2 linked regions of the Styela clava genome follow. The protein of the gene in region 2 purifies or fractionates together with the protein of the main gene of each other region. This does not show direct contact. Links are inferred from orthologs where the notes say so. Each region holds a gene or a part of one and is shown on either strand. Other genes may lie near its edges.

Region 1 (16,565 bases), on a different chromosome or scaffold from region 2:
TTGATTGAGTTTTTAGGAGCCAAATTAGATTTTGTATTTTCACTTCCAAACGTATTAATTTTCAATGCAATGAAAAAAAATTTTTCTGATCCCATTGACATTAACTGCTTCAAGTCTCGCCTGAATTGGTATATACTGGCAATCTCGCTCTATAATGGATGTTTTCCGACCTTTGACCCCAAAAAAATTCTTCCTGTACTTGACTATAGCAAAATATTTTATATTTATTCCTGTGAGTGTTTTGGAGAGTGGAACTTTACAAAATGGTTTTTCATTTTTAATAAAATATACAACCACACGTAGCTTAATAAAGGCACCAATAGCTAATTTTAGCCTAGTCTAGCAGCTTTTGTGAGACTAATTTTTTATTATTGCGACCATGGTTCATCTCAAAATATAAATCTTAATTAAGATACTTCATTTATACCTATTTTTTGGGAATAAATCTGAAAACTGACAAATAACACGCAAAACTGCGAAAACGAGGCAATTTTAACAACCATGTTTAATATCTGTCTTAGCGAACGAAATCTCTGAGCGGCTGCAAAAATTACAATTGTTACGTCAATTTTTGCTGATTGTCTTCGTTACGGTAATAAACAAGGAAATCGATGCTCGGGGAAACATCCTTTCTTTACAGTCACAGTATCTATTGACATATTTGTGGCTACCTGTAACTAGGGCTGGGCATTCTCGAATACCTTGTGATTTCAGAATAGAATTGAATAATTTTTTCGAATCGAATCTCGAATACTTGAAAATATATATTTGTAAGCGACTTTATTATAGTAATTGGTTCTCTCAACAAATGAATTACTGAAGACATAAAATAAAACACTCAGATAGATTACTGAGCGTTCACACAGAATAACAAACACGTTTTATGAATAACTCACTACAGAAAATAGTCATATGTTAGAATTTCGTTGAAAAAATATGACTCCAATGAAAAAAAAAATTGGGGAATTCACCTCGACCATTGGCGGAAAGATAAAAACAAGATGGCGGCGATTCAAAATTTAGCTCTGAACCGATTCGAATAATTTACTATTCGATTCGAAATGCCCAGCCCTACCTGTAACTAACTTATTCCCCAAATATATTGCTTCAATCATGTGTGCATGTGCCAACCGTCTGTATTCGAATCTGCATGGAGTAATTCATCCATAACTTTTATGCTTTGCTTTTAGATACCTTTGGGCAATTAGTCTGTTTGATTTTTTATGCTGAAACTATTTTTATAATTACTGATGTGCCATTTTGCGCTGGGAACTGAATCACGATGATTTCTCATAGTTGTCATGTATTGAACATTTTACGCGGCAGAAAAGTCTTCATGCCCTGAAAAGTCGAATTTAAGGGAATGGAAATTTAGGATTTTAAAACCTCCGCACCCCCCCCCTTTTTTTAAAAAAAATTCTGGCTGCGCGCCTGTTTTCAAATACCTTTGTGCAATTAGTCTGTATTACTTTACAGAGTTAGGTATTTTTATAATTACTGATGTACTGATTACTATATGTCCCATGGTGATTAGTAATACGCGATTTTGCAGAAACTAGATTGTGGCGATTTCACTGGAAAGGTGAAATTTCAATAAACTCAATGGCACCATATTGTATATCTGCCGTGCTTCGATTTTATCGAACTGAATTATTACAAGTTTTAGGATTTTATTTTTAATTACCTCATTTAATTTGGTGCTCATCCCATTTAATAGAAAGTACTCACTTTGAAACTCGCGTCATATCAATATACCGCTGTCATTTTTTTATTGGATTGAACGTTTTAATAATCGTGAATGCTTCTGCTGTTTTATTGCCATATTTGAAAGATGTGACATCTATTTTATTTTTAATGCCTGCCATTTTAGGTACTTAGTACTATCTATTAGGGATGCTCTAAACCAGAGGTGCACAACACCAAAGCGACTACCGTATCACTCGATTATATTGACTTTGCACTTTGATCGCAAAAACGTATTCAAATCACAAATCATTCACGACAATAAATTGTTTCAATAAATAGATATTCGTTATCATGTTTATTATTACTTATCGATCTTAAGATCGGTAAGAAACAAGATCTTAAGATCGGTAAGTACATTGATAGGCATTTGTCTGTATGTCTGTCTGTGTGTGTGTCTGTTAGATGCACGCGATATCTCACAAAAGCGAGATTGAATCTGCTCCAGATTTTGCATGTGCATTCATCTTATCTCGGATCAGAAGCCTATTGATTTTGGGCGAATTATGTCGTATAATTAGCGAGTTATCAATCAATTATTGATATAGTGATCTAGATTTTTGTCAAGCGAGAGAATTTTGAAACCCGCCGAGTGTGTGTGTGCGTTGCGCAGTGCGCAAGTTACAAGAGCGGATGAATCGAAACTGCAGTTTCTGTTTTGGGGGATCCCCTAACTATCGATCGATAAGTCTTCGGTTTCCAACCGGTATTCTCGTTTAAATTTGTTAATGTGTGTTTTACGGGAGTTCGTTTACAATACCAACGATTATGCGTGGCACACGACAAGATTATTTTGAAAAATTTGGTACATATCCTCATTTGAGTTTTGCACACCTGCTCTAAACCAGGAGTGTGCGACCTTTACCATAGGAGGACCAGATCCATTAGCTGGCAAAACCACGGGTCGCGCCTTCATTTAACAAAGGCTTTCTTGTAGTTTTGGTTAACATTTTGGTTATTGATCCTATGACATGCATTGTTCACTTCGCATAAGCTAGCTGGTAGGGCGTTATATCGTCATAGATAATAAATTCGACTCTTTGCAACGTAACGGGATTGGAATTACTCGCACAAACCGATTTGAATAAATTAAAAACTTGTTTCGCTGGCCTAACAATTCTTTCTTGTGGGCCACAGTTTGCACACCCCCTGATTGGATTGTCAGACAAATGATAAACAATGAGGTAGTGATTACCAACCTTTTTGTGCTTGTGACCTTCCGTTTCTCATTCCAGTGGTATTCATAGTGTTATTTTGATCAAATCCTATTATGTTCAAACAATTCTTGCTCAACAAAGTGAAAACACTCCTGTGAAATAACCTTATCAAGAATAGAATTTTTTCTTGTCAAGGGGAAAAGTAAAATCAGTTTTGTGGCCTTCCTTCAACTGCCCTTTGGCCCCCTTCACGGGTCCCCGGTTGGGAATCACTGCTAAAGGGCTCGGCACACATAAGATCAAGGTTGGGCAACATACGACCCGCGACGAGATTTTGACTGGCCCGCTGACTGTATCCAACCACACTCTGTAATGTGGTCCGACGCATCATTCCTGAAAGTTGCCGATCGCTCTACTCTCACCGCACTGTCAGTGCGAGCTGGTGAAATAAACAATTGCCTTAGTGAACAAACAATTGCGTTAGCACACTTGTTAAACAAACAATATAAGGTCAAAGCAGAGAGCGTTGTAAACATTCCCCACTACTGTTATCAGTTATGTTTAGAATCTAAATATAAATAGATTTCAGAAATTAGATTTTATATCAAGTTTTATTCACCACGGAATATCCCAAGAAACGTAAAGTTGACAGAGAGTGTCGAGCATTTAACGAAGATTGGATACCGAAGTATTTTTTGTAGTAATCCGGCCCGCCGAGGGCTTTTTTTTTTCACATCTGGCCCGCCGACTAGAGAAGTTGCCCATCCCTGCGTTAGATGGTGCTGATGAAATTCTACTCTGACAAAATAGCTAACAAAGTAAAGCTTTTTTGCTGGTGAAATTTTGCTAGACATATTTAGTATACTGTATTTTATTCAATATTTCTTCGTACTCGCTCTGAATGTTTTTAATTAATCAATTTTAAATCTTTTGCAATTAGTTTGTTTTTCTGTAACAGCAATCATTTTTTCGAAATAAACTTTTCAATCAAAGCGTTTCTATTTTATTTTAAAGGAACAAGAACTCGTATTATAAATTGTTGAGAGCCGTGCCGTAAATTGGTGTCATCCTAAATTTATTGTAATTTGAGAGAATTTCAGATTTGTCAGTGGGCTGTGATAACCATTAGAAACAAAAATTACCACTTATTATTCTATGCAAGTTAGCAGGTGCCGATTAGGTAAGAAATAATTAGGAATTACTTGTTGTAGGATGGTTAACCTAACTGCTGGTTAGTTTTAGATTCCTTCACCAAAGTCCACAAATCAACTATAATGGACTGGTTTTTGCCATACAATCCAGGGGGCTCCCGAAGTATGCGAACCAAGATGGCGGACATCGGAACGTAACAGGTTAGGGTTAGACGATAATTTTTTTCCAATTTTCCTTATTTTAGTCCTATTATCAGTTCGAAGACTAGACAAGAGCCTCCAGTAGTATTTATACCTAATATTATGGCCTAACCCTAACCTAGTACACATATTACATTGCGATGTCCGCCATCTTGGTTCGCATACTTCGGGAGCACCCAATCCAGTTATGTAATAAACTTTCCCTCCCCCAGGATTTTAAGAAAAAGTATCCTATTGGAATTGATTTACATCAGGGTTTCCCAAACCTTCCGGGTCGTGGTTCCCCTATTTGTGAATCTTAGTTTTGACCGGACTCGCATGCTATGCCATATCAATTTCTGGGCCTAACCAACAAGGAAGGATAATGTTTAATACAACAAACAACATTTGCTTTTCACTGCACAATTTTTAACTCTAGGAGCGATTTGTGACAAGCAAACTCGAAGGGGCGACTCTACTGTCTTCATATTGGTCCAATCAGACTCTTAATATCGTTGCAGACCCCTTGTACATTCATCACGGAAAACCCACGTACATTTGAACCCATGCGTATATCCACGGGTTCAATCCATATGCGGGTGCCAAAACCCATGGGTTAGGGTTAGTATGGGTTTAACTATCCGTGACACAAAAAAAATTCCATAGGTGCAAATTGTCATGGGTTCAAATGTACGTGGGTTCAAATGTAATGGAACCTCGTTGCAGACCCTGACAGGCATATCAGAAGAAACGAGGCTCCCGAAGTATGCAAACCAAAATGGCGGACATCGGAATGTAATGTATACTAGGTTAGGGTTAGACCATAATTTTAGGTATAAATACAACGGGAGGCTCTTGGCTAGTCTTCGAACTAATAATAGGACTAAAATAAGGAAAATTGGAAAAAAATTATCGCCTAACCCTAACCTGTTACGTTTCGATGTCCGCCATCTTGGTTCGCATACTACATACAATTTTCAACTCTCGGAGCAATTTGTGACAAGCAAACTCTAAGGTCCGACTCTACTGTCATCATATTGGTCCGATCAGACTCGTAATATCGTTGCGGACCCCCTCACATTCATCACGAAACCCCAGTTTGGGAAACCCTAATTTTGATGTTACCCACACAAATGACAGGCATATCAGAAGAAACTTATCATCTGGGCTGGCAGGGTGCTTTCTTCTAAAAATAAAATCCAGTCAGACCTTGAAATTTTCAAAATACTAAATCGTGGTAGCGATGGCTATGTAGCCTCTCGGATATCAGAGCCACTTGTACTGTTAAAAAAATGACTGAAACAACAAAAGGTACAGAAACTTCATAGAATTATTGGCGCTCCAGAAGTAGGTGTACCAATATGGAGGTAATTAAAACCTATTCACTTGGCTAACACAGACAATCCCTTAACTCGTAATAGAACTAAAAGTAAGAAAAAAAACCATGACCTAACCTCAACCTGGTACACATACTATGGGAGTACCAAATTATTGTCATGGAATGCTGCTCAGAAACAGATTGCAGGAATGGCGGCACCATTGCAAAACAACAACTTTGAAGACCAATTGACTGCATTTGCGCTCTTCTACCCCTATTGCAAGGCTTTCCTTGTTGTTCCGAGGCCACACATAGTCACATGGTTTTTAAAGGATGTCATCGTTTAATGTAAAACAGCTTCATAGAAAAATCCATTATCTGATACTAAGTCGCTCTTAATCTCTCTCAAAAAAAAACAGGACCCATAAAATTATTAGTTACTTCAACGAAATTTATGGAACACTTGAACTTCTGTTTGTGTATGATTGTCCCCAATGAGTTTCCGTAATCAAGGACGCTTGGCACAAAAGTTATATTCTCTCCATGTTACAAATGACCTTGGGTTCTGTTTGTTTAGTCATCTTGTATTATCTTATATTATAACTAGGGATGTCTAAGCGAACAGAATATTCGAAATCTAATCGCAAATTATTCAAATTGTTTTGCGGCTAATTCGCAAATCGGTAAAATGAGGCAAAAAAAGATTCTATTTTGGACAGCACTAATTAACCCATCTCAAGTTGCACAGCCTCCCGTTCAAGTTTTAAGTTCTTGAAAAAGCAGTGCATGTAGCATGTACAATGCTATAAATATTTCCCACTATTTATGACAAAATTTGAATAAAGAGTTATTTTTTCTTGAAAAACCCCATAATTGATGCTTGTTTCTGTTGTTTTTTTGGTTGAGCTGCAGTAGATATCGCTGGAAATTTTTTCGTTTTTGCTTCTGTGTCACCATTTGCAGTATTGTTTTTGTGGTTTTGTTCCGCTTGATCATTGTTACCATTAGCAACAGGTTCTGCATCATCGCATTCTTCAAATTCATAATACTTTTGTGTTACCATACACCCTTCTTCATCAACAAATGTTCGACTTTTCATGACTTTTTCCCTCCGTTTATTAGTTTTGACTTCTTCAACAAATTTTTCTTTCACAGGTTCGGGTTCAATCACAGGTGGGGGTGAAGGAGGGGGAATTCCCATCTCTTCCTCGTAATTTTCATCTTCGTTTTCATCCTCACTACTAGAAGATAACATTTCCTGAATTCTGCGTCGTTTCTTCGCTGGAAGCTCGTTCGAATCATGCCGCGAATTTTTTTTGTTTTTATTCGGCTTCGGTTTTTCAACAGGTTTAGGTTTTGTTGATTTATCAGCGACTTTTTTCAAACTTTTTACAGATTTTTTATCAGTTTCAATAAAATCATCCTCGTCATCCGAAAAATCATCAATTCTTAGGTCATCTTCTTCAACTGAACGTTTCGATGACGATTTTTTATTTTTTTTCTCTGTTTTCAATGATTCTTTTGTCTTATCTTTTTGAGGTGACTTTTCAGTTGTACTGTCCCTTTTTGAAGGCTGTTTTTCACTCTTATCGGACACTGTTTTCTGTTCTTCTTTTATCACCGGTTTTACAGTCTTACTTTTTGCAAACGGATCGGTTTTATTTTTTGTTAAAAACGCAGCCACGCCCTTTTTCTGCCCCTTTTCCAATGGGGGATCAGGTTTTTTATTAGAGTTCAATTTTTGGGGTTCAGCGTCGCTTTTCGATGCTATTTCCTCTTTAACTTTCTTTTGTGGGGGTGATGTTTTCGTTTTTGTAAAAAAATTGACTTTCTGCTGCACAGGTTTCCCTTTTTCAAATGCTGGTTTCGCAAATTGTTTTTGAAGATCCGCAGAAATCTCTTTAGCACCACCTGGTGTTTGTTTTTGTTGTTTAACTTCATTCTTTGATAAGCACTTTGCACCGTTGTACGTTATACCCCCAAATTTCGAAATTCCGCTCAGATTTTTACGATGAGTGTCATAATCAGTGGAATACAGCACAGCACTGTGTTGAAGTTTCATTTTTTGCACGCTATATAACGAAACACTATAAACTTTATCCATTTTTGATTTCGCTGAGTCAAGATCGACATCTCGAACGACCTTTACACTTATTCCAGCTGAGTCATGTCCTATTATTGCATAAACAATGTGAATTCCATTGTTTTGTTTCTTGCATGAGTCAGCGTAATTCTGAAGAAGACTTTTTGCTTTGTTGGTTGGAATAGCGAGTTGTTCGCTCAGCCATTTATAAGTGACCTGGAAGGGAAAAAGAATAGTTGTTGAATAGGTATGGAATTGAAAATATTGAAATTTGAGGAAAATTCCCATTTTTAAAATTTGCAAAGGAGTAAATGAAATAATAAGGTTAAAAAACCGGGTCTAATGTAGTTTCTTACCTAACATACTTCTAGTGGGCTTAGCATGACGATTTTTTTCACGTATCAATACTATCCCCCACCTGACTACACCATCCAAAAATTACGTCACAGTGACGTAATACAGCCCTTCAAACTATACGAACTGCCATCCAAGACGTACAAATGAGCACCCGAAATCGAACAGTTATTTCTCTCATTTTCTCGTTGAAACGATTCCTATAGGAGAGAGACCGATAACGTCAGTCAGTTCTTTATCGTCGGCGCCAATGCCATTTCGGTCCATCGTGCGTATATTTGGCAAGCTCTATGACGTCATTGTGATGTCGTAGTGATTTAATCTTTGGATGGCTTAATCAGACGAGGGCTAGGATTGACATATCAAAAAATTGTTATGCTACGCCCACTAGAAGTACGTTAGGTACGAAACTACACGAGACCCAAAAAACCTTCTGACCTTGGATATATGATACTTCGTTCAACCTTTCTATGCACAAGATTTTCGATTTAGCCACAATATTTCTATTTTCTGTCATTACCAAGACAGCAAGGCCTGTCTACTGAACTACTAAATGCATATGATAACTTTTCACCTACTCGGACTTGACTGAATAAGGAGATGAGAGACCTGGCTTGCAATATAATCAAGCCCTGTTATCCTCAAATATGTAAAATTTCATCTCCTGATCTCTGTGTCCCAGAGCTGCAGAGACAGGAAACATGAAAAGTAAATTGGAAAAACAAAAACCCCAAACTTACGATTCGATTTTCGTCATCTACGAATTCGTCCACAGTCGCCAGAAATGCATCCAACTCATCCATACTTCAAGAAATAACATATAAACAAAAATTACAGGGCAAAATTTTGTTGAACTGCAAAGTGCAATACCGGTATTATTAAAATGTAGAATTAGGAAACAGCGCGAAAATTAATGATTGACGCGTTGGTCATGCGTAATAAAATTGTCACAAGATAGGTTTGAAACGTTTTGTAGTAATGAAAGCTTGATTTAATTTAAAATATTAATCAACTTATTATTTTAATATAAAAATGTATATTCAATTTTGTTTTGGTCGTCTTCCATTTTTAATAAATCATTCAAGTTTTAGATTCGGGAGATGGCGATATAGAGCTAATATGGTAAATTGCAGGGTAAAAGTGAACAAAATGTTCTTTTCATTTTAATTAAACTTATATCGAATTGCCACACGGTATTCCGTGTTATGATAAATTAATTTAACCGTTGCATCTATATCGTGATTTCTACCCTCATTTTTCGCCTGAATACAGCGGTTTTACTTGTGTTCTCGAAAGGCTTGTTCACCGAAGAAATGTGACAGTGAACACGGAATGCTCGGAAAAAATAATGTTTATGGCTACTTTACCCCGCATAATCCTCGTCAGTTCTTACATGAAGCGTAAGATCTACATCGAGTTAAGCTTAAACTTAAGTATACCTCACGTTGTAACCGTTTTAATTAACCAACGTTCGTCGGTATTAGTTTTATAAAATGTTATCGCAAGCTTGCGCTAGGGAGCAATCGCACCATATTGCAGGGGTAAAAATGAGCAAATGTTTATTCTTCTGCGAATCTTAAAAAAAATGGTTTTCCTCTCCTTCGTCTTCCTGTATTCGTCGGTAGTTTCCGTCCGTATCAGAGTTTTAGTCTTTGAATTTACAATCCTTTCATTCCTTGCTTTTAACGGATGGAGGCAGTTGGAAGGCCGCGAATTTATAAGGGATATAAATGCAGGAAATCTGCAAAAACCAAATTTGTTATTTTTCGTATTTCTAAAAAGATAACGCTAATCTGAGTATAGTTAGAGTCTCTTAATGGTAATGGCATTAGGCTGATGCCAAATCGTCCAATCGGAAGTTAAATTGATGGAGGGGGGGGGGGGGGGGCTAGACCACTTCACTCACAAAAGCCAAAATATAGGCAAATTAGAGTCCAGGATTTTATCAAATATTATAATCAGTAACTTATAATTAATTTTAATTAAAATGAACTACGGCAGTATGGTACTGTAGGTAGGATAGGATTTACATATTTATCCCGGGGGAGAGGAAAGCCGATAAGACGGCTTATCCATATGGCGAACCACGGCCTCTCGTCCGGTCACCATTCCAAGTCGGGTATGGGATTAGTTATATTGTTTGTTTTCGGAAGCATGGACTTGGTGGTCGAGGAAGCCGTAACCGACCAGCGGTGACGTGAACCACTCAACGACGGCGAGGAGTCCAGCAATCCTCTCGCACATAATCATCCCTGCATGGGATTCGAACCTGCGAACCCACGCAGAGTAATAAGAGGTGCGGTGGCGAGCGTATTCCTAACGCTTAGCCCGCTGAGCCACACCGCCGCGCCAGGTAGTAGAAAATATGTTATGAGAATATATAGTCTAGCTTCCTAAAGGTTCAAGCAAGGTTTCCTTATTGAAAGTCATGGATTTTAGACTAGGAAATATAATTGAAGTTGTTGATTACTCAAGTCAGTTCAAATTCATCATAGATAATTCATCAGCCTTTCAATATTGTTTCTTTATTTCCATTCTTCTGAATTAAGTGTTTTATAGCAGTGGAAACAGTTAGAAGCTGTTAAAACTGCAATAACGAGGATATAAAACCTGCAAGCTTCAAAAACGTTTTGGAGCGTCTGCATTTGAGATGAACTGGAATATTTGCCAAAGAGTGGGTAACATGCTGCAAACCTCAAGAGTGTTACATCATAATACTTCCACACTGGGATGTATTTCAAACTATCACATGAAATGTAACTTGCCAACCAGAACTGATTTAAATTTTATTCAAAAAAGAAGAACACAAACTTCATATTTTTCTCAAAAACTTTTTGAAAACTATGCACAAAGGACTTCATTCTTATGTTGCTTTTCCACTGATGTTAAGAGCCGATTTCCATCAATTATTACCTCACAAAGAAGGGATGCCTCTTCAAAACGATCAAGCAAAAAAGCTCAATACTATGCAGAAAAAGGGTGAGATAATATATTCAATAGTTAAAAACTTAGATAAGATAAGATAATTTATTTTGAACTCTGGTATGGCACAAAAAATGACTACACACAGGATCAAGATATAAAATATTTTTGAATTTTGAAAAATTATTTCAAAACATGAGACAGAAAGTATCTCGCTTAGGTTATAGGTGAGAAAACATAATGGATACACTTTTTTTGTCATTTCGCTGGGGAGCATTGTTAGCGTCTATTATTGTTAGCGTCTATTCCTATTTATCTTGGAAAAGGAATGCCAATTTGAGGGTTCAATCATACGACAAATCGTGGCATCTTGTCTAAATTGGGAGTATCAAAATCAGTTCATTTTTTCAGACTTGCTGGACTCTTCCTGTCGCAGAGTGATATAGGCAACCACTGGTCGGTTTCAGCTTCCTCAACCAAGAGAGGCCGTGGTTCGTCATATGATTAAGCCTTTTTTATCGGCTTTTCTCCTGGGGTAAAAAATTTTATCCTAATTTTCAGTTTAAGGAATTCATCCACTTTTTAGACATTCAAGTCGAACGAAGCTATACTATACTTTGAAGCAATACATTCGATCACCAGAGAACGCTGAAACGTTCGTGTCCCATCTTAAAGAAGAGGAACGCCGGTTTTTACTCGCTGCTTTAGAATCTTCTATTGGTATAAATACTAACTCTGAACAGCATGGTGAGCTTCTAGCTTAGTAAATGTTTTATTAATATTTAAAACATTTTGAGCTCTGCACGGTGGCTGGTGATGTAGCACAGGGCTTCCCAAAGTTTTAAGCTCGAGACCCCTTCCATATTGAAAAAATTTCCGCGACTCCTGTTAAGTCGGTATTTCCATGCAAGCGTGCCGCTTCTCCAATGTATTATCTCGAAATTGTGAGATTTATGTTTTGCTCTAGTTGTGTTTCGATTCGAAAGTCTAAAAAAGTACAAGAGATAAAGCACTTTGTGTGAGATTGGTGTACTCTTTGCGACCTTTATAATTCGTTGCCCCCCATCTGCAGGGTCACGACCCCCAGTTTGGGAAGCCTTGATGTAGCATGTAGGAATTCACTCTTCTATTTTCTATGGGGTTTTGAACTTTATGAAGAATATGCTCATCTCTGAGCAACGAATCAAAAGGCAAATGAGTTGAGCCTGATGGTTATTCTGATGATAGGGTCATAGCACATCATAGGAAGCATTTGACTCAACTTTAAGAATTGAATATTTTAAGCTTTGCATAGCAATGGATGCTGGTGATGTAGGATCTACCAACTAACTCTGCCTATCTTGGAATTTTTTATAAAGGGCACATGGGTCATCCCTGAAATGCCAAGGGTGCCATACAGTATTCTGACAATAAGGAAACATATGTTTAACTCTGTCTCTTTTACGTCTGAATGGCTTTCAAGAGCTTTTCTTCTAAGTATACTCCACCAAATCAGTATTTACTAATGTTTAATTAATCACCATAATTCTATATAGTTTCAATAGTTCACAGCATTTCACTGACCATGAGTCTCTTTTAATTCTGAGTGAGTGTGTGTATTGGACCACATTAATTCCATGTAGTTTTATGTAGTCTTACTGCATTCACATTACCTTGAAGAAAATTTCTGTATAAAGAAACAATCGAAAAGATTTTTACTGCTTTATTCTTTTTTCTCTCTGAAATCATCAAAAATAAAAGTCTTGCTAGCTTTCACACTTAGCTGTAGAATTCATTGGATATCATTAGGTTTATCCATATAATTCCTTGAATGCCTAATTATATTATTTCCATGATTAAATGTTCATATATTAAAAAAAATTTCCTGGTAATGTAAAGTTGATGAAGTCACATTTTATTTCTATTACGTAGGGAACCCGTAATTCTGAAACGTAATACAGTGCAAACAATAAAATGCTTGATTGGGAAGGAACGTCTCCCATTTCCAAGAAGGCAGAATTAGGGAAACCTATATTTGACTTTCAATTTGTGATTTTAAGCTTGATGCTATAAAGTGTAAATGTATATATTATTTCCAGGTGAGGACTCAGGACAGATCACCAAGCGACAGTTATATCTTGGTGAGTAATTTTACCTTTACATGTGTGTCTTTTAGAGACTCGAGAAAAGCTGAAAAAAACAAAAATTTCGGACTTCGGATTTATAAAAATTCATGTTTAATAATGTTTCAAAATTTTTCGTTCACCTGTTTATTGCACTAAGATGAAATGGCCCACCTTTATGGGATTCAAACCCTCGATTTTTATCCTGTTCTTCACAAAAGTCCATTATGTCCCATTCCATTAGGATGATCCAATTGCATTAGTTCAATGTTGTGGCATCACAAATAGGCCATTAGTTAGATGCCACACCATAAATTATGCATGATGTGGTCTGTCTTAATGCAATAACAACTGTTATGACTACTGCTAGTCCTGAAGATTGTTGACTACAGCTTTTGATTTCTGAATAAAGGTTGGCGTATGAGTAAGACGTCTTATCGACTTTCCTCTCCCTTGGGATGAAAATGATATCTTATAGCAGTGGTTCCCAAACCGCGTTCCGTGGGCCTCGTGAAATGATTTTACATACCAAATACCGCCAATTGTTATGTCATTATCGCAGTTTGAGGGTGTGTGCTCTTTATTCGGCCCGCGAATATCCTTTCGCTTCTAATTTTGGGTCAATCAATTTTAAGAACCACTGCTTTATATTGTGCCTGGCTAAATATAGCATGAGCTTAGTCGGGACGTTAAGTTTTCTTGTCATTCGATCTCTAAAGCTCTACATTTTTTGGCGAGCACTTGCCTAGTTTGAGGGTTGAAAGCATCATAGATCAGGGATGGGCCAGTTATACATAACAGACATAGTTACTGGGCCGTTGGCTCAAAACTCTATATTAAAAACTATCAATAAAAACAGTTTATTTACAACAGCTAGGCTAACGTTTATAAAATAATAAGAAGCACAATGTAACAATCAGGGTCATTATGACGTTATTTTCGTAGATACGGGAATTTAAATCCATGAAAACTATAGTCGTAATTTCAGCAGACACAAGTGAAGTGATGAAACACTTTGGTGTGCCGCTTCCATCCCATGGCCGCAATTAGCCCACCTCTAATATGCTTGACCCTTGAGAGCTTATATCAATTTCAATTAGAAATTCATATATTCTGAAATTCATTCAAAAACTACTTTCCCATTATGCATGACATTAATTATTCATGCCCTGTCATGTTCATATTTATGCGCTTAAATCAACTATTGTCAAATAAATGCGCAAGATATGTCTTGCAGAATAATTGTTACACTTCAATGAATATTGCTGTCGTCATGCTTCAATGAACACTTCTTTGCGTCCTGGTTTTGGGTGTTTCTGTCAATATAAATGTATATGTAGCACGAGGAAATTATTGCGAGATGATGGAATAAAATATTCACACTTAGTGGAATTTACTTTTTATAATTTTGTGCCAATATTATTGCCCAAATGAGTCAACTTTTGTCAGCAAATAAATGTAGAAGATATATCTCATATAATGTTCTTTAGGCACCAATGAACATTGTGTTGTGATTTCCATTTGCTGGATTAAATCCAGGGCTATGCTGTCTGGAAAATTTGCAGCCGTTTAAAAATGTATAAAAAATGATTTTATCTCTGACTCCATCTTCATATTAATAGAAAATCAATGTGTCATCACACAAACTTTGACTTTATTAGCATGCCACAATAAAGAAAACTTTATTTTTCTCAAAACTTTGTGCTTGTTGGAATTGGTTTTCACTTCGATGAAGTCATAGAAATTATAAATTGCACATCATGTGCTTGTTTCCCTAATTGCAGTTCAATAATCTGCTGGCCAGCGTAGGTATTTATTAGCATCCTCTGAGACCTTGACACGAAAAATTTGAAAAACACTGCGTGGACCACGTTATTCGGGAATTTAAAAAAAATTCTGAACACAATTGGATGAAATATTGATTGATTTTTTGTGAGAAACATGATCTCACATTCACTTAACTTATTAAACAACACTATACAGCAACCATGAACCTCTCAATGCAATTTGCAAAGCCGCGCTCATTTATTATTTATAATGCAAGTGTGTCTGTGCCCAAACTCTGCGTGACATAAGCCAGATTAAATGGGTCTTTGTAATTAGAGAGAAAATACAAAAACGGCCTATGGCTTTGAATAAAGAGATTCTGAACTAACAGGGCGATACTCATCTGTCATCAATAAGATTTCAAATTATGTTTTCCCACTGTTAATAAATTGAGCAATCACTGATTTCTATGATTCTCTAACTTTCACACGAAGCCACTATAACTTGACTATATTGCATTCAGAAATTAAAAATCCAAAATATCAAGGGTCGTTAGAATATTTGGATAAACCCTGTAAACCAGTAGGACATGGCGTCTATATTTTAATCAATAACACATAGAACAAAATTAGTCAAAATAGTTGGCTCTCCTGAAGTATGTGAACCAAGATGGCGGACACCGAAACGTAGTATGTGTGCCAGGTTAGGGTTAGGCTATAATTTCATTCCAATTTTCCTTATTTTAGTTCTATTACGAGTTCGGGGACTAGCCAGGTGACTCTCATAGTATATGTACATGAAATTATGGCCTAACCCTAACCTGGTACACATACTAGGTACCGGTGTCCGCCATCATAGTTCACATGCTACGGGAGTACAAAGTAGTTAGGGCCAACACCCTTATTATGAGACTATCATGTCATGTCCACTGCTAGATGAGTCACCCCAATAATCAGCCGTAAATTCTTGTGTTTCAGTTTTCGTTCACAACTGTATCCCGTTTATTGGTTTTGGATTTCTCGATAATGCAATCATGATACTGGCGGTAATTTATTTTGTTTTGTTGGTTCGAGGGGCCTAATTGAGCCAGTTTTGTCAAATATCTTTTTAATTAGTTCGTGTTCAGCAAAGATATTGTGAATTCATAGATATTTGATTTGAAATAAACCTTGAGATTATCAAATTTTCAAATGCAAAGTTCCAAGATTTCAAATGCTTGAAAGCTATTTTTCCTGTTGGCAATAAGTAATTTTATTGTTTGAACAAAAATAATTCATCAGAAAAAATCATACGGCGCTGAATTACTAGAAACATCTTTTAGTCAGTTAATTGTTGATCTATTCAGACCAATTAATTCTGTTAAAACCGCCTTAATCCAGTTACGACCATTCTCACTTTAGTTCACTCCCATGAGACACTTTTTTGTTAAAATAATTGGATTCTTCACTGAATTAACTTTCTTTGTTTTCCAGGGGGAATACATTGACCTGACTATTGGCGTTACCTTAGGGATTTCTACAATGGCAGGTGGGGATGGATGATTTATAATTATTGTAAAGTGGATCCATAATGTGTCCAAAAAATCTCAGATGAGAAATTTTCTGTGCCTGGCAAAATACTTTCTTACTTTCCCCTCCACATTAAGATCTTTTCTTATGATTTCATTATTTCAAGTTGTGTGTGAGTGTGTGTGTGTAACCTCGCTTCGAAAAAACATGCTTTTATATTATTGTGGTTAGATAAAATGCCTGCTTCACTATCACAAGACACAGAACAGAAATCCATAAA
Region 2 (16,414 bases):
GGAAAAGTAAACGTGAAAATGTAAACCACTACTATAAAACGCTAAATATACTCGAGGTTGAAGACATAATAAAAATTTAAAGTATTATCTTTAGTTTATGATTTTCACAACATTTCATTGTCAAACTGCTTTGACGACATACTAACCAAAACCACTTCCAATCGAAGAAGTAATTCCAATTTATTTATACCTTTTATGAGTAAATCTGTGAGCCAGCATGTCCTATGTTATAATGGACCTAAGCTATGGAATTTTCTCCCCTTGAATTTGAAGACATTAAAATCCAAAAAATCATTTCAGAAACAAGTCAAGTCCTACTTAGTATCCAAATATTGAAAGTTATTATTTCATACCCACACTCATATATATATACTCTTCCGTATCTAATTAGCTACAACGTTTTGATAGCTTGGACACAAAAAAATATCGAACCCCAAAAGAAAAACCATGACAGAAAGTGAAAGGACACTCTTCACTTGCACTACTTGTTTTCATGAAAATATTAAACAGCTACAATATTGCTACTGTACCTGCAGCTGCTGATGGTTGTTGAGCGGGCACTTAATCTCTCCCCACATGTTCTGCATCTAATGTTGGTGTGTCGGGTTATGCAGCATGCGTAGCATAATATTATTTTCGAATGGGGCTGTTCACATTCTGACATCTGCATGCGCATGTTCTCTTTTTGTTTAATGCTGGATTTTTGACATTACAGATACATGGTCTTTGTTTCGATTTGGGTGGTGTAATACCTTATGAGGGTTGTAGACGGTATAGTTTAGCTCCTGTACCTATTATTGTAATTAGGCCACCAGTCAAGATATATTGGATTCTCCCCTTCGTTTTAATTTGCTGTGGTATTCTATGATTTGTCTTGTGTGTATACAAAATTTTATCCTAGGTTAAGGTTCTGCTGTGAAGTTAACGTGAAGGCCAACATACGAATGGTTAGTGTGGTTTGGAAGTTTTTGTATGGTTTGCGAGAAATTTACCTTGTGTACCGAAAAGAATTCAACACAGGTCTTTCAACTAGCGTTTTGAAGATGAACAACCAATTGATCAATATTTACTAAAATAATAATTTTTTCTCAACAAAAGTGTAGGGTAGTGTTGTTTCTTAATATGTGTAGCGTACCGGCAGTCCATGAAATAATTATCCAAGTCTATGAAGTAATTATCCAGAATATCTTCCAATTTGGTCTGACGTCATGTTTCCTCTCAATAGAGAGAGAGAGAGAGATTTATTGTTTTGTCAACCGTAAACGAACAATGGTATACAAAATAATATATACAATATACACAAAGTTAATTCGGTATAGACTGGGGGGAGCGATACGACCATAAGGTCATCGGAGTCAGCTCCCCCCAAGTTCACTATTAGGATTCACAGTTAAATGTATATAAATAAGAAATAAAATAAAAAAGATACTCATTGGAGAGTTGACCAGAACTCTTACAGAATATTTTTGAGATTAGGCTATAAGATGGTTTGATCAATGGCATTTTCAGCTTTTAGGTCTGGGGTTTGACTCCTAGTAGGTCCATTTCATAACATTTTTTTGTTTTGCATGCAATGTAGGAGACTATCTAATAAATACAATACTTATGTATTAAGCTGGTTGAATATTGTTCGTCACATCAAAAATTTCTACTGAAAGATAGAAGCCAGAACATACCAGTGGATACGGTAACTGCCTGAGGCTTGAAATAAGCGATAATTGGAGTGATATACCGGTAACAGTTAATACATGTATGATTAGGGGAAGATCGAGGACCTTGAAAATTTATCATGAAGCAAATTCTCCAGTCCAGTCTCGGATGATTTCATACTTTGCCAAGATACATTAAATTCAATTGGGCTTCAAATGACAACATGTACAAATCACTTTGTTTGAAATATACATACAGAAAAACTTGGTGCGACAAATGGCAGAAAATTTTCACTATTAAGACATGCAACGGCAAGAACAATATGATACAAAGATGGAAAACTTGATAATGTGACTATTTGATTACAATATTATATTCATAGTGCTTATAATGAAATTGCTTATTATATCATTCTTTATAAATAGTACCTTACAGTTTGCTGAACAAATAATCACTATTAATAAATAAATAAATGCCCTTTATTTCAATCCAGAGTGTATCTGTTGGCATTTATTCCTAATCTAGTAAGGATGAAGGGTACACAGAGAGAAAGAAATGAATTAGATTTCGGAAGGCATACTAAAAAATGTACCTAATTACATGGAGTTCGTGATGTCCAGCGAACTGAATATTCGAAATCGGATCAAAAACGATTCGAATTGTTTTCGGCCAATATTATCTACATAAAGCGGAAATATCCTCACGACCCGATATTTCTCTAGCCTTCATATTGCGATGAAAAAGGGTGTCTCTCCTAATGCCGAGGGTATATATCATGCGTAGTCATGACTGACAAGTTATTATTGGCAGTATATGTTTAGAGAGAGTACATAAGGGAAAAAGAGCAATTTAGTATCCATAGAAAAACGATAGTTCCATCAATGCAAATCAATTCGAACATTTCAAGTCAGTAATCGGGAAGCACACATTGTGGAGGTTTTATGATGGCAATACTTAGTATTAACCATCTATTAACAAGACAAATAACTGCACTCTTGCATTCTGATGGCTGGTACAGTAACAATAGGTTCATCTAGGGATATTATCATCATCAAACTAGCTACATTTTTGAAATTTTTGGGCAACAGTTTTATTTATATTAATGTTTATTAAAAAATTGCACAAATTCAGACTAGTGATAACAGGGTTAAAAGAGTATATACAGGCCACACATGCCCTATTGAAACTGAATATATAAGAATTGAGTAAATAAGGTATTGGGAGTCTCTGTAATTTTCAACTTTCAACACTCATATTTTAGGGAGGCATGTGATTTCCATACTCCATTGATAACTCTGGAAACATAGTTATACAAAATATCATCAGTATCATTTTAAATGTAACAGCATAATACGTTATTACAATATCGAAATAGGATTTTTGGAGGATATTCGTTTCGACAAATTATACGATTCGAATCAAACAATTATTCGATTTTGGACAGCCTCATGGAGTAAAAATAAATAAATAAAAATAAATTAAAAATCTAATGAAACATTTGATATTGCAAATATCAATCCTAGACAGAGTATGGCTAGGTCATTTTAGAGAAAATTGGACATTCAAGAAGATTTCAATCTTGTTATTTTCAACATGTAAATATAATAATGTAGCTATGCAAGCAATGCAATAATCGAATGATGTATAAAATCTGATTGAATAATTTTGGAGTAAACTTTTCGAATAAATCTCATTTATAGAAATGCAATTTTAAAGAGAAACAGTACAACAGTCAATAAACATTTAAGATAATTTTACAAAAGATTGTAAACATATAAGTCTATAGGAAAACAAAAATAATTAAAGTAAGCATCGTATTTAAGTCTTGGCATAGTAAATAATATATTAAAGTCGGTACTACACATTGCAGGGCATACAGATGCTGAAGTCATCAATAGTTTAAGGTATTGACTATTGATCCAAGGTTACGATTAATCATAGGGATGTTAGAACTGCTCCTGTTACTATTGGCTCAGTCCTACAAAAAGTTTTGAAATACGCAGTGTCAATACTAGCAGCATATGCAGACACATTACCAATCAAATAGATTAATGGATGATGATCGAATAAAACAGCATTTCAGAATATGATATATTAAAAGCATGGTGTTTGGGGTTGCACACAGTGTAATTGTAATTATAATATGAATATATATGAACAAAATGCATTGATTCATAGATTAAATTTAAGGTTAGGACATAGTGATATCATGACAAATGCACACTATAGGAAATAGTACACAAAGCATATGATTTCAGTTGACCACGTTGCAGAATCATCCTATTTTTGGCAGAAGTAAAGTGAATACGGTAAAGATATAGATATATACATGTATAGCTCAGATATAATTCTACTAATGGTTTGTAAAGATTGGGAGAAGCAGACCAAACACAAGAACAATAGTAAATATATTTGTTCCTGGATCTTGAAATAATGTATAGTGAAAAATAAGTTGATCTAGATGTTATACTGTACACGGTGTAAAAAGTAGGGTCATGAATAAATAGTTTAACCTTGGTCAAAAAATGTGAATGCACAAAATGGGGGTGAAATTGTTATTATTGAAAATGACTTTCAGGAAACTTAATTATAGAATATGCAATGTTAACACAAACAGTATAAGCAGATACATAGTATTCCTAATCACATAAATTCAGGATTGCACACAGTATACAATTATGATTACAATTATGATGAACACTGTTCATTGAAATGTTTACATTTCAAGGTTAGAGCTTTATGGCCATTTTAACAAATGCAAGCTATAGGTAATTATCAGTTGTAGGTAATACTACATCATGTTTTGCCAATAGTTAAAGAAAATAAAATGAAAAAACAAATAGTTATGCAAGCACATGTAAATTACAGGATTTAATACCAAAAAGACATGGTAATCAATAAAAACAGTTATATAAACTCCCTACCATATAAGTCCAAGATCAACCAATCAAATCCAACGGTGTGTGGGACAGCATACAAGCGGTTGGTTGGATGATTAGGGTATTAACTTTTGGGGAACTTTATGACGCAGTTATTAATAAATGTCTGATATTAATATTTATCGATGAGATGTTTCATATATTTATACTTAAAACTATTGTATGATGATTCTTTGATATTGTCAGGAATACTGTTCCAAATACATGGACCAGTGAATTTTATGGATCTCTGAGCCAAATTTGAGCTTGTTCTATTAACAAAATAGGCTCCTCTACCAGCCGACCGAGTATTATGTCCATGGATATCACTAGAGTTTGTGAAGTAGTTTTCAAATGCATCCGGCAAAATACCCCATTTAGATCGAAACATAAATTTCGCAACTTCAAATTTATATACATCCGCAAGTTTGAGAATACTCATCTGTCTGTATATAGGATCTAAGCTTTCACGCATACGTGCGCCACTCATTAATCTTAGGGCACGATTTTGAAGTACACAAATCCTATTGAGATAAGTTTTACAAGCAGAGCCCCATGCCACAATTCCATATTGTAAATGGGAATAGAAGAGTGAAAAATACACAGTTTTTAAAACTTTTTTTGGTACAAATTTTTTTAATTTAGTCATGGCCCCAATTGCCCTTGAAAGCCGACCAGCTAGTTGGTTGATATGTGCTTGCCAATCAAGTTTTTTATCCAGGATGACTCCAAGGTATTTTACACAATCATGGTTAGTCAATTCAAAATCGTTTAGAGTGAACTTAGGGTTGTAATTGGAATTTTTAAGCTTTTTGAAACAATTAATTAGTAAGACTTGCGTCTTGTTGGGATTAACGGTGAGTTTGTTGTGAGTGAGCCAATCAGAAATATTATGAAGTTCAACATTAACTTTTAGTTCCAAGTCGGACAGATTCCTTGTAGCAGAGGTGGAACTGGTGTCATCCGCAAAAAGTTTGATCGAAGCATTAGTGGCATGGACAATATCATTGATATGGAGCAAAAAAAGGGTCGGGCCGAGTACAGATCCCTGGGGAACTCCTACAGTCACATTTGCTTTCAGTGATTCAGTACCAGATATGTTCACAAATTGACTTCTATTTTCCAAATAGCTAGCAAACAACTTGTTTACAACACCGCGAATTTCATAATGACTTAATTTACGAATTAAAATTTTGTTTCACTTCAATTTATGTTATTTTGTTCTATTTATTAATTATCCTCCAATGAAACGGTTAATACAACCAAACACCCCAAAGAAACGGAAAGCACACATCAAAAACAACAATACCAGGCAGTAAAATGTAAGAAAGCAATATACACCATAAAAACACTAAACTAGCTACTTACAATTTGCAAAATAGGCTGAAAATAACTTATGACAGGCATTTTAAAAGACTATATACAATTCTATGTGTGCACAACATTTGAACAGTACAGATGATAGCTAATACCATGACAAAAATGAAACAACAACACTAAATGAACTGCAATGGCACTACACGCAAACAGCAACAGGGTCCCAACATTAGCTCTCCGTCCAGCACAAAAACATCCAACCAACCCTAATCCAACAGTCACAAAACCACAAACAAACATCCCCGATAACCCACCGGATATCAGAGGCACTTCCACAGACACAAAACACCCAAAATCCAGCCACACTCAGACAACTGCACCCTGCCAACCACAGCACACGCTAACAGGCCACATCCAGAAGACTGATCGACAGTGTCACATCGCCCCCAGTGTCTTCAATGCCAATGCCAATTCTTCCTATACTTTACCATTGCAAAATTTTCGGGGCTATTTTAAGAGTGCTTTTGCGAGTTGGCGCCTGTAAAATGGGGTATGTGTTACAAACCATCATTATGATTCATGGCATACAACAATCTTTTTTTTAAAAGTACCGGTAAAAAATTTCAGGCTAGTCTATCACAGCTATTTCTACACTAATTTTTATTAGTGCAATCAAATTAAAACTCCTAGGAAGACAGAGTGATCATTGAATTATTTGATTTATATTTAAGTTTCCGAGACACAACTGAAAATTAACGAATAGAGTTCAAAAACGCGAAAACGAGGTAATGTTTACAACCACACTTGAAAATCTGTCTGAGTGAGAAAAGTGTCTGAGCGGATGCGAAAAGGGGGCATTGTTACGTCACTTTTTGCATCTTGCTGATTAGCCAATGTCACGAAGTAAACAAGGAAAACGATGCTCGGGGAAAGGTATACCATACTTATATATCTTTGATATGACATTCGGTACAATTCTTCAAACGTTCGGGTGAAATTTTTCTGGCAAAGGCGGGAAATCCTTGGAATTTGTATTACAGCATTCTGGATCTGGCACTGGGCAAAGTGACTATAACACTTTGGCACTGGGGAAAGAAGCGAACGCAGTTTTTCATTCAGTCATTGCATGTGCTATATCTGATATCGTTACGTACCAGTAACGTATCTTTCAACCGGGGCCTTACTACTGTACCTGCGTAATGTACCGGTACCGCCAAACGCAGCAAACTGCACGAAGCAGAAGAATACGTTCCTGCTGTCCTGGGAACAGTGCAAAGGCGAGTGGAAGTGGTGACTCTTCTACGGCCCATGGGCCGGAACCACGGCCCATCGAAATGGGCCTCGGCCCATCAAGTTGTGTAAAGGGACAAAATAATAAAGACTAATAAATATGGGGTCTGGTATAGTTTAGTACCACATGTACTTCTAGTTGACCTGGCTCAACAATTTTTGCATATGTCAATCCTAACCCCCACCTGACCACGTCACCGAAAAATTACATCATTTCGACGTCACAGTGGCGTAATAAGGCCCACCGAAGTATGCGGATGCTCGTCCAAAACGCACAGACGATCACCCGAAATCGAGCAAGCAATTTCTCTCGTTTTCTCGTCACAACGATCACTATAGGAGAGAGATCGCCGGCTTTAGCAAGTTCGTTATCAGCGGCGCAGATGTCATTTCGGGCGATCGTAATTATACTTTGGCAATCCCCATGGCGTGATGGTGACGTCGTAGTGACGTAATTTTTGGATGGCATAGTCAGGTGGGGGTTAGGAATAGCATATGCAAAATTCGTTATGCTACGCCCACCGGAAGTACTTGTCGTACTAAATTATACTAGACCCTAAATATGTAAATCCTACCCACTCCCCGAACTTATAATAGAACTACATTGTGAAAAATCTGAACAAAATTTTGTCCTAACCCTAACCTGGTACACATACTTCAGGTGTATCTTTTTCTGTAGCTTGGTATTTTGCTTTATTTTTATGTAAAGGCTTATCGTAAGAAAAGGTTTGGTGGCATCCCACGATTTTTTTTGGTTTGAATATTGACAATTTTATAAAAATTGAAAATTTTGGTGAGATAATGGATTTTTTTCTGATGGGCGCGGCCCATAGCTTGATGGGCCAGGGCCCATGTGGCCCAATTAGATGGGCCGTGGCCCCGGCCCATGGGCCTTAGAAGAGTCACCACCCCTGTAACGACAGGCAGACAGGAAACAGCACGAAACATACGGTAAAACAGTAAAAAGCTTAATATGTAATGTTTTTCAATTATATCTGTATATACAGATATATGTGTACCGTATGTTAGTACAGTCTGATAGTACTGTAGGGATACGATAAGGGTACTGTAAATACTGATATATGTATAACGTATATTGATGTAAAGATGTATCATGATTTAATTCCCCTAAATCCAGTACAGCACGCTATCCAAATTCCAAGAATTCCCCTCCATTTGGCTCAATAAAACAAACACTCTATGTGTCTCACAAACGAGGGGCGTCTGGGACCACGTCAGATGCTTCATATCGCGCCATGATTGTCTTAATAATAATCTAAATTAATCGCGGCTGTCACGTCCCCAAAATTGCCGTTTTTTGCTAAGAACTCTCAAATGCCACAGTAAAAAAAATTTTTCTTTGGTAAATCGGATTATTTTTTCCCAAGGAATTCAATGATGACGTTATTAGATTGCGCTTTTCTATAGTATTTTGCGCAACTCCATTATACTGTATTATTACCGATATTGAGGAACAACAGTGTCCATCAGTCCATAGAATCAAATCTTGGAATCCTGACTTTATAATCCAACCCAGAGAGTTACTCAATCAAGTAGAATTTATTTTGATTCCTTCTGTTCTAAAATATTATCAAGGTATTGCCATAATAATATGTAATTAGGACTGGGCAAAATATTCGTATAGCGAATCGAATATTAAATTATTCGAATGGCATTTTACTATTTGAATATCCAGTACCACTTTGCTTGGACACGGAACTCGCGCCTCTCGAAATCGATCGTGAATCGCGCCAGAATTCACCTACAACGCTCGATTGTTGAAATGTCTTGTCTGAAAGTTACTATGTACTTGAAAATTTTAATAACAAAATCTAAAATTTTACTCTTTTTCTGTATCGGTGGAGCCTCTCAAACTGTTTTTCAATGTCAGAATGTCTTGTTATAATTATAAATTATGGTATATGCTTTTATTCTCGTGTTAGTCTTCAGCTTTTTAAATATATGTATTTTATGGGTTTAAACTTGCCACTTTGTTTGTAGAATGACAAAATTATTCTAAAGGTAATTTAATTTTTACACAGTTATGGATAAGAGAAAGCCAAACAATGATGGTAGCTCTACCTCCAATGGCAAAAAGATCAAGATGTCAGACATTGCCACACAGAACAACTGGGGAAGACCAACATTACCAACAATAGATCCAAACACTTACAACATACAAATTCAACAATTGGACTTAGATACATATTTGTCCCAAGAGCCTGTGGCGGGTATATATGATATTCCATATGGATGTGCTCCAGTGGTTCGCATGTACGGCATAACTGAAAATGAACACTCTGTATTATGTCATGTACATGGGTTTCTGCCATATTTTTATATTCAAGCCATGAAAGGTTTCAACCCAAATGACTGTGACGAATTCTGTGAATGTCTCAACGATGTTGTTTTACGTGACATGAAAGGAAATAAAGAAGTCAAAGTGGCTGTAGCAAAAGTTGAATACTGCATGAAGCAAAATATGTATGGTTATAACAGCCTGGGAAAAGTCCCATTTCTCAAAGTCACAGTTGCAGTTCCACGACTTGTTGCCACCACACGAAGGATTCTGAGAGAAGGTTTCAAAACTAAAAAATACCCAACTCACAATTATCAATCATTTGAGAGCAATATTGATTTTGAAATTCGTTTTATGGTTGATACAAAAGTGGTTGGTTGCAATTGGGTAGAAATTCCAGCAGGAAAGTATAAGGTGCGATCTGGATCAAACTGTGTTTCACAGGCTCAACTTGAAGTTGATATAAAATGGACAGATCTCATCAGTCATGAACCGGAAGGCGAATGGCAAAAAATTGGGCCATTGAGGGTGCTGAGTTTTGACATTGAATGTGCAGGTAGAAAAGGCATTTTCCCAGAGCCTGAAATTGATCCTGTCATTCAAATTGCTTCAATGGTGAAACGAGAAGGAGAAAAAGAACCGTTCGTTAGAACAATATTCACTTTGAAGAGCTGTGCTTCTATTGTTGGCTCACAGGTTTTTTCCTTTGACTCAGAATCTGAACTGTTACTGGCATGGGTGAATTTTTTGAAAGAGGTTGATCCCGATATCATCACTGGTTATAACATAGAAAACTTTGATCTTCCATACCTGATCAACCGTTCGCAAGCACTGAAAGTAAAGGAGTTTGCCTATTTTGGACGAATAAAAAATGTTCAATCAAAAGTGAGGGAAACAAGATTCCAGTCAAAGCAAATGGGAAGCAGAGAAACAAAACATGTCAATATTGAAGGCAGAGTGCAGTTTGATGTATTTGTCGCTCTTTTGCGAGAACAAAAGTTGCGTTCTTATAGTTTAAATGCAGTGAGTTTTCATTTTCTTGGTGAACAAAAGGAAGATGTCCACCATTCCATCATAACAGAGTTGCAGGAGGGAAATGAACAAACAAGAAGACGACTAGCTGTATATTGCTTAAAGGATGCTTTACTTCCTTTACGTCTTCTTGATAAACTGATGCTTATCATTAATTATATTGAAATGTCCAGGGTGACTGGGGTGCCAATGACATATCTGCTTACTAGAGGTCAAAGTATCAAGGTTATGTCACAATTGTTGCGAAAGACATCGGTGGAGGATTTGTTAATGCCAGTAATGGAGAGCAGTGGAAGTGACGAGCAGTATACAGGTGCCACTGTTATAGAGCCTGTTAAAGGTTACTATAATATTCCTATAACAACTCTCGATTTCTCCTCGTTGTACCCCTCAATTATGCAGGCTCACAATTTGTGCTACACCACTTTGTTGAAAAACAGTAAGGAAAAGGAGAAATTGCAGCCAGAAGATTACATCACTACTCCTACGGGTGATACATTTGTGAAAGCATCTGTTAGAAAAGGATTGCTCCCAAAAATCTTGGATAGTTTGCTCACAGCCCGTCGTAAAGCTAAGGCTGACATGAAAGTGGAAACAGATCCATTTAAACGAAGTGTGCTGGATGGTCGTCAATTAGCCTTGAAAATTAGCTGTAATTCGGTGTATGGTTTTACAGGTGCTCAGGTTGGAAAGTTGCCATGTTTAGAGATATCAAGCAGTGTCACCGGCTTTGGTCGAATGATGATTGATCAGACAAAACATCATGTTGAGAAGAAATATACAATTGATAATGGTTATTTTGCCAATGCTTCAGTTGTGTATGGAGACACAGATTCAGTAATGATTAAATTTGGGGTAAAAACTGTTGCAGAAAGCATGGAACTGGGCCGTGAAGCTGCTGGATTTGTCTCTGATCAGTTTCCTTACCCAATTAAACTGGAATTTGAAAAGGTGTATTTTCCATATCTATTGATTAACAAAAAAAGATATGCAGGATTGTACTTCTCTACTAGTGCTGAAGTTCATGATAAAATGGATTGCAAAGGTATTGAAACCGTTCGTCGGGATAATGCGCCTCTCACTGCCAATCTGATCAACAGTTGCCTGCAGAAGCTTTTGATAGATAGAGACCCTGATTCTGCAGTTGCATTTGCAAAACAAACCATTTCTGATTTGTTGTGCAATAGAATCGATATTTCTCAGCTAATCATAACAAAAGAGTTGACAAAAACAAAAGAACAATATGCTGCAAAACAGGCTCATGTTGAACTAGCTGAACGAATGCGTAAACGAGATGCTGGCAGTGCACCGCAACTAGGTGATAGAGTTCCTTACGTTATCATCTGCGGTGCCAAGGGTCAAGCGGCATACTTAAAATCAGAAGATCCCATTTATGTGCTCGAAAATAACATCCCTATCGATACAGAGCATTACTTGAAACATCAATTATCTCAACCCCTCCTTCGTATCTTTGAGCCTGTTTTGGGTGAAGGAAAAGCGGAGTCAGTTTTGTTAAAGGGAGATCACACTCGTGTGCGCAAAGTTGTTACCTCAAAAGTTGGTGGCTTGATGGCTTTTGCCAAAAAGCGAGAGACTTGCATTGGATGCAAATCGTTGCTCAAACACTCTGGTGCTGTTTGTGATCACTGCGAAGAACGGGAATCTGAGATCTACCAAAAGGAAATTCTAAAATTGTCATCTTTTGAAGAAAAATATTCCAGACTGTGGACTCAATGTCAGCGTTGTCAAGGTTCACTTCATGAAGAGGTTTTGTGCACAAGCAGGGATTGCCCAATATTTTACATGAGAAAAAAAATTCAAATGAATTTGGAATCTCAACGAAAAGTGGTAATGCGATTTGGTGATTGGTAAATTCTGTTTTATCATGATATATTCCAAGATTTATGTTACACAATTTTTGCGTAAATCATGATTCATGATATCATTGTTGACGTGTTAAATGTAACAGGAAAACTGACTTTTTGAATATTAAAGTGTAACATTGATTTTCTTTAATACAATTCCTTTGGTCGCTGGGTCAGTTTTGCCGGATTTCTTGTAATATAGAAAATTTGATGTAATGTGGGAATAATGACATTAATAGTTTTTTTTCTGTTTTTTGGGGGGTTTGCTTACGTCTTCATAGACAGTTGACATAAGCAGGTTTAATTAATATCTGCTATAATGAGTGTATTGTTGAAAAATAAAAAATTGTGATATCATTTCCATTTATCATGTTAAGGAGTAAAATTTAGACAGATAAATACGCCTTGGAGGGGGTTTGGGTGAAAGGTTAAAAGCTGCTCTAGGGCTATTTTGAACCTTTTGTTAATAGTAAGTTTTATCTGAACATCTGTGAATTAGAGATATATCGGCCAGATTTTCGGTATCAGCTAAATTTAGACCGATATTTACGATATATTTAGCTTCTCAGTATGATCCAGATTTCTTTTAAAATAGGTTAGAATACTGATCTTGAAATTATTTTTGTTTGGATGAATGGTGAACTAAGAACCGTGCACGTCCCCACCCCCGCTAGTAGAAACGGGAATCGGATTTTGACTTGTTTTTAGCCACTTATCAGCCAAACTGGCTCAAATCAATTTGAGTAATTTCGCTGCCAAATTTTTAGATTAAAATTTTTAATATTACATGGTAATAATAAAAAAATTTATCAATCGAATATTAGTGGATGTTCCGATGTGTAAAATATAAAATACGGCGTTATATTGGCACAAAATCCTGCGCACGTAACACAACGTATGAGTTTCATACGATAAGTAGGCTAAACATATATTTATTTTACCATCAACGGTAGTCAAATCCTATTAGTTTTTTAATTGAACATCGAGATTACCAGCGACAGTGCTCAATGCATCTGAAACGCATTTCGATCTCAAACATCTACTTCTTAACACATATATATATACATATATGTGTGTGATATTTCTCTTTTTTGATCCGAAATAATGCTCAAAGACTCTTATTTTAAACCGTCTGTCCTGTACACTTGAGGTAATAATTACATAGTATCGGTTGTTTTCGAATCGGCATCGGCGACAAAAGTGGTATCGGTACATCTCTACTGTGAATAGTCTCTGTTGTCCCAGACAAAGAACAACCCTGACATGATGACATTTTTGTATTCTGGTGTTCTTGTTTGTGGTCAGATCCATATTTAAATACGTTTTTCCTGGTACAAGCAATTCGTGTACTGGACTTCAAAGTGGCAATACATGATCTCTGTTGCACCAGGACAAATGAGGCTTGAAATAGAACCGAAATACGGTACTCTAGCTCAGGACTACTCAACTTGCGGTCCGAATCTTAGACCTTTCGAGTGCTAAATTTGGACCGCAGCTACTTCTTGACTTTGAACGCATTGTTTCTTTTTATTTCACAATCGTTATGTAATGCATTTTTCGCTAAACGACTATGAAAAACCGTCATTGTAATAAAAGTTTCTCAGAGCATCGACTCACTTTTGTGATTGATCAAGAAGATATTAATTCCGGCGCAACTACTGCCATGAAGTTTTAGTGACTTCTTGTATACATTTTTCGCAAATTCTTAGACATGGCAGTGAACGTTAGCTTGTTTTTGTAGCTTATAAATATTCCATGTATATATTTCACACGCTCGGCTTCACAACTGAAGCCTTACGGACACCGAAGCGTGATATTAAGCCTTGCTATTGTGTTTTGTCAAACTATGCATTTGTAATTTTGTTCCATAGCTAAAAAAATATTCTTGGAACGACCGGACCCCGGTAATTTTTAAATTTTGTATACAGACCTTTGATGAAAATAGTTGAGTAGCCATGCTCTAGCTATTTAGAAAATGTTAGAATGTTCGCATTTATATTAGGTGTGAAATTTCGACCCCGGAAAGATCCACACTGCGTTCAGTTGCCCAAAAGTATTGTTAGGCTCCGAGCTCCATCGGCCACAGCGATAATATTCCTCAGTTAAATGGAGTGGAATTTGGTTGTTCCATTATTATGTATCGACGAAACTGGTGGTAAAACTAAAATGCGTAACCTTAGAATGAAACCTTGTTTTCAAGCTGCCAGATCGCCAAGAATATTGGTATTTTTGTGACATAGTAACCGCCTTGCTTATATAAAATGTCAGATTTTATCTTACTTACTTATCAATAATTACTTATCAATGTGTAAAATGTTGACAAAAGCTAACCCGAACGTACGGAATATCGTGGTTTTTCGGCTCGGCGGAGTGGCGCATCGTTCTAAGCGTTAGGAATACGCTTGCCACCGCATCTCTGATTATTTGCGTGGGTTCGCAGGTTCGAATCCCATGCGGGGATGATTATGTGTGAGAGGATTGCTGGACTCCTCGCCGCCGTAGGGTAGCTCACATAACCGCTGGTCGGTAATGGCTTCCTCCACCATCAAGTCCATGCTTCCGAAAACGAATAACTGGCTAACTAATCCTATACCCGACCTGGACTGGTAACCGGCCGTGGTTCGCTATATGATTAAGCCATATTATCGGATTTCCTCTCCCCCGGGATAAATATGTAAATCCTATCCTAAGTGTGCAATGTTACTACCTGGAAAATATTTAGCGATGGGGGACAGTTTGGTGAAGTCGATGCCTAAAGTGCGACATTTATTAAAACGATATAATTATGTTTTCTTTATGTATTGATTGCATATGTGCGTGTCGGATCGGTACCGCTGGTCAAATTATGCAAATATGATGACCAAAGCCAGAAGACCAGCCAGAGAAGTCGTGTTTTTCGATACGTGATCATCAACGCGCGACATGATCGTACGTAGCCTACGTACTATTTCCTTTATCAATACCTTTTCATCTGAAATCTGTACGTTTCAAACCATACTGGAGGTTTTGTTTGCTTTCCCGATTCTATAATCAGTTTTATTTATTTTGTTTTTATTATTATTTTGTTTGTTTTATCAATTACTTTATCGTCTATGCTGAATATGGAGTCGAAATATACTTATGATCCGCGTGCGGTTAAGTAGAATCTGTTTAAAATTAAGTGCGATTGCAAACCATTTTCACCAATCCAATCTGTTTGCCACTTTCATTAGACCAGCGTTTCCCAACCTTTATTGGCCGCGGACTATTTTTTCACCATGGAAAATCTTCGCGGACTCAAGATGCGTTAATTGTGTAACCGAACTCTGCATGAAGAAGCTATAGAACCAAAAACAACAGAATTTTAACGAAGTCAGTTTATTATCCACAATTACAAATTTAAATGGGAATCATAGCGTGCTCCAGTGGCGGCGCGTGGTCATTTTGACAACCGGGGCAAGCTACTGCGGGACCAAGTCACCCCCATCTACGGGGACAGGATGAGCGCTGTAAGTTCTCCCATCATTTTATGAGTATAAAAACCATTCCATCGGTAACAACCAATCGGCAAAAGCGACAATTTTTAACGATAAGAAAGTGTCTTTAAAACCGGTCCAAGTCAAGGGATTAATAAATATAGACATAGTTTATTTTGAAACCTTTTTCAAAAGGAAAGATACAATGACATATTAACAGAAACTTCGGGAAAGCAGACAAAACCTAAAATAAGGTTTAAAACGTTACTATGAAGAAAGGAAAGGTAATGCAAAGATAAGGACATGCGTCGCTCACTCATAGATATATATGCTGCTAGACTTCTACTGCTTGAACATATATGCAACACGCCGCGGTTTCTTGGAAGCAAAATGCTCAATAACGCGCTGATTAAAGTCATGCATACCAGAAATAACGTCTCTGTGAATGGATAAAACAGCCAAGGAATTTAATCTATCTTGCTTCATTGTGTTTCTGAGATACGTTTTAATACGCTTCAGCGTGCTGAATGTTCGCTCTGCGTCGGCGGAAGAAATAGGCGTCGTCAAAATGATGTCCAGAAATTTTGC

Evidence for each region.
Region 1: the proteins of DNA polymerase delta catalytic subunit-like (region 2) and DNA polymerase delta subunit 3-like purify together in Homo sapiens (co-immunoprecipitation; 8 studies listed by BioGRID and IntAct, with this or other methods). This does not show direct contact. The link is inferred for Styela clava from reciprocal best matches to the Homo sapiens genes POLD1 and POLD3.

Annotation. Positions count from the first base shown.
Region 1 is NC_135257.1:21,467,539-21,484,103, reverse strand, and holds DNA polymerase delta subunit 3-like, read right to left. Parts: upstream 8,881-16,565; 5' UTR 8,790-8,880; coding exon 8,727-8,789; intron 7,849-8,726; coding exon 6,397-7,848; 3' UTR 5,873-6,396; downstream 1-5,872. Other genes in the region: transmembrane protein 65-like, read left to right, coding at 10,637-10,965, 11,495-11,655, 12,987-13,028, 15,755-15,822, 16,250-16,304. UniProt on the Homo sapiens protein: Accessory component of both the DNA polymerase delta complex and the DNA polymerase zeta complex.
Region 2 is NC_135250.1:14,614,653-14,631,066, reverse strand, and holds DNA polymerase delta catalytic subunit-like, read left to right. Parts: upstream 1-8,900; 5' UTR 8,901-9,219; coding exon 9,220-12,378; 3' UTR 12,379-12,730; downstream 12,731-16,414. UniProt on the Homo sapiens protein: As the catalytic component of the trimeric (Pol-delta3 complex) and tetrameric DNA polymerase delta complexes (Pol-delta4 complex), plays a crucial role in high fidelity genome replication, including in lagging strand synthesis, and repair.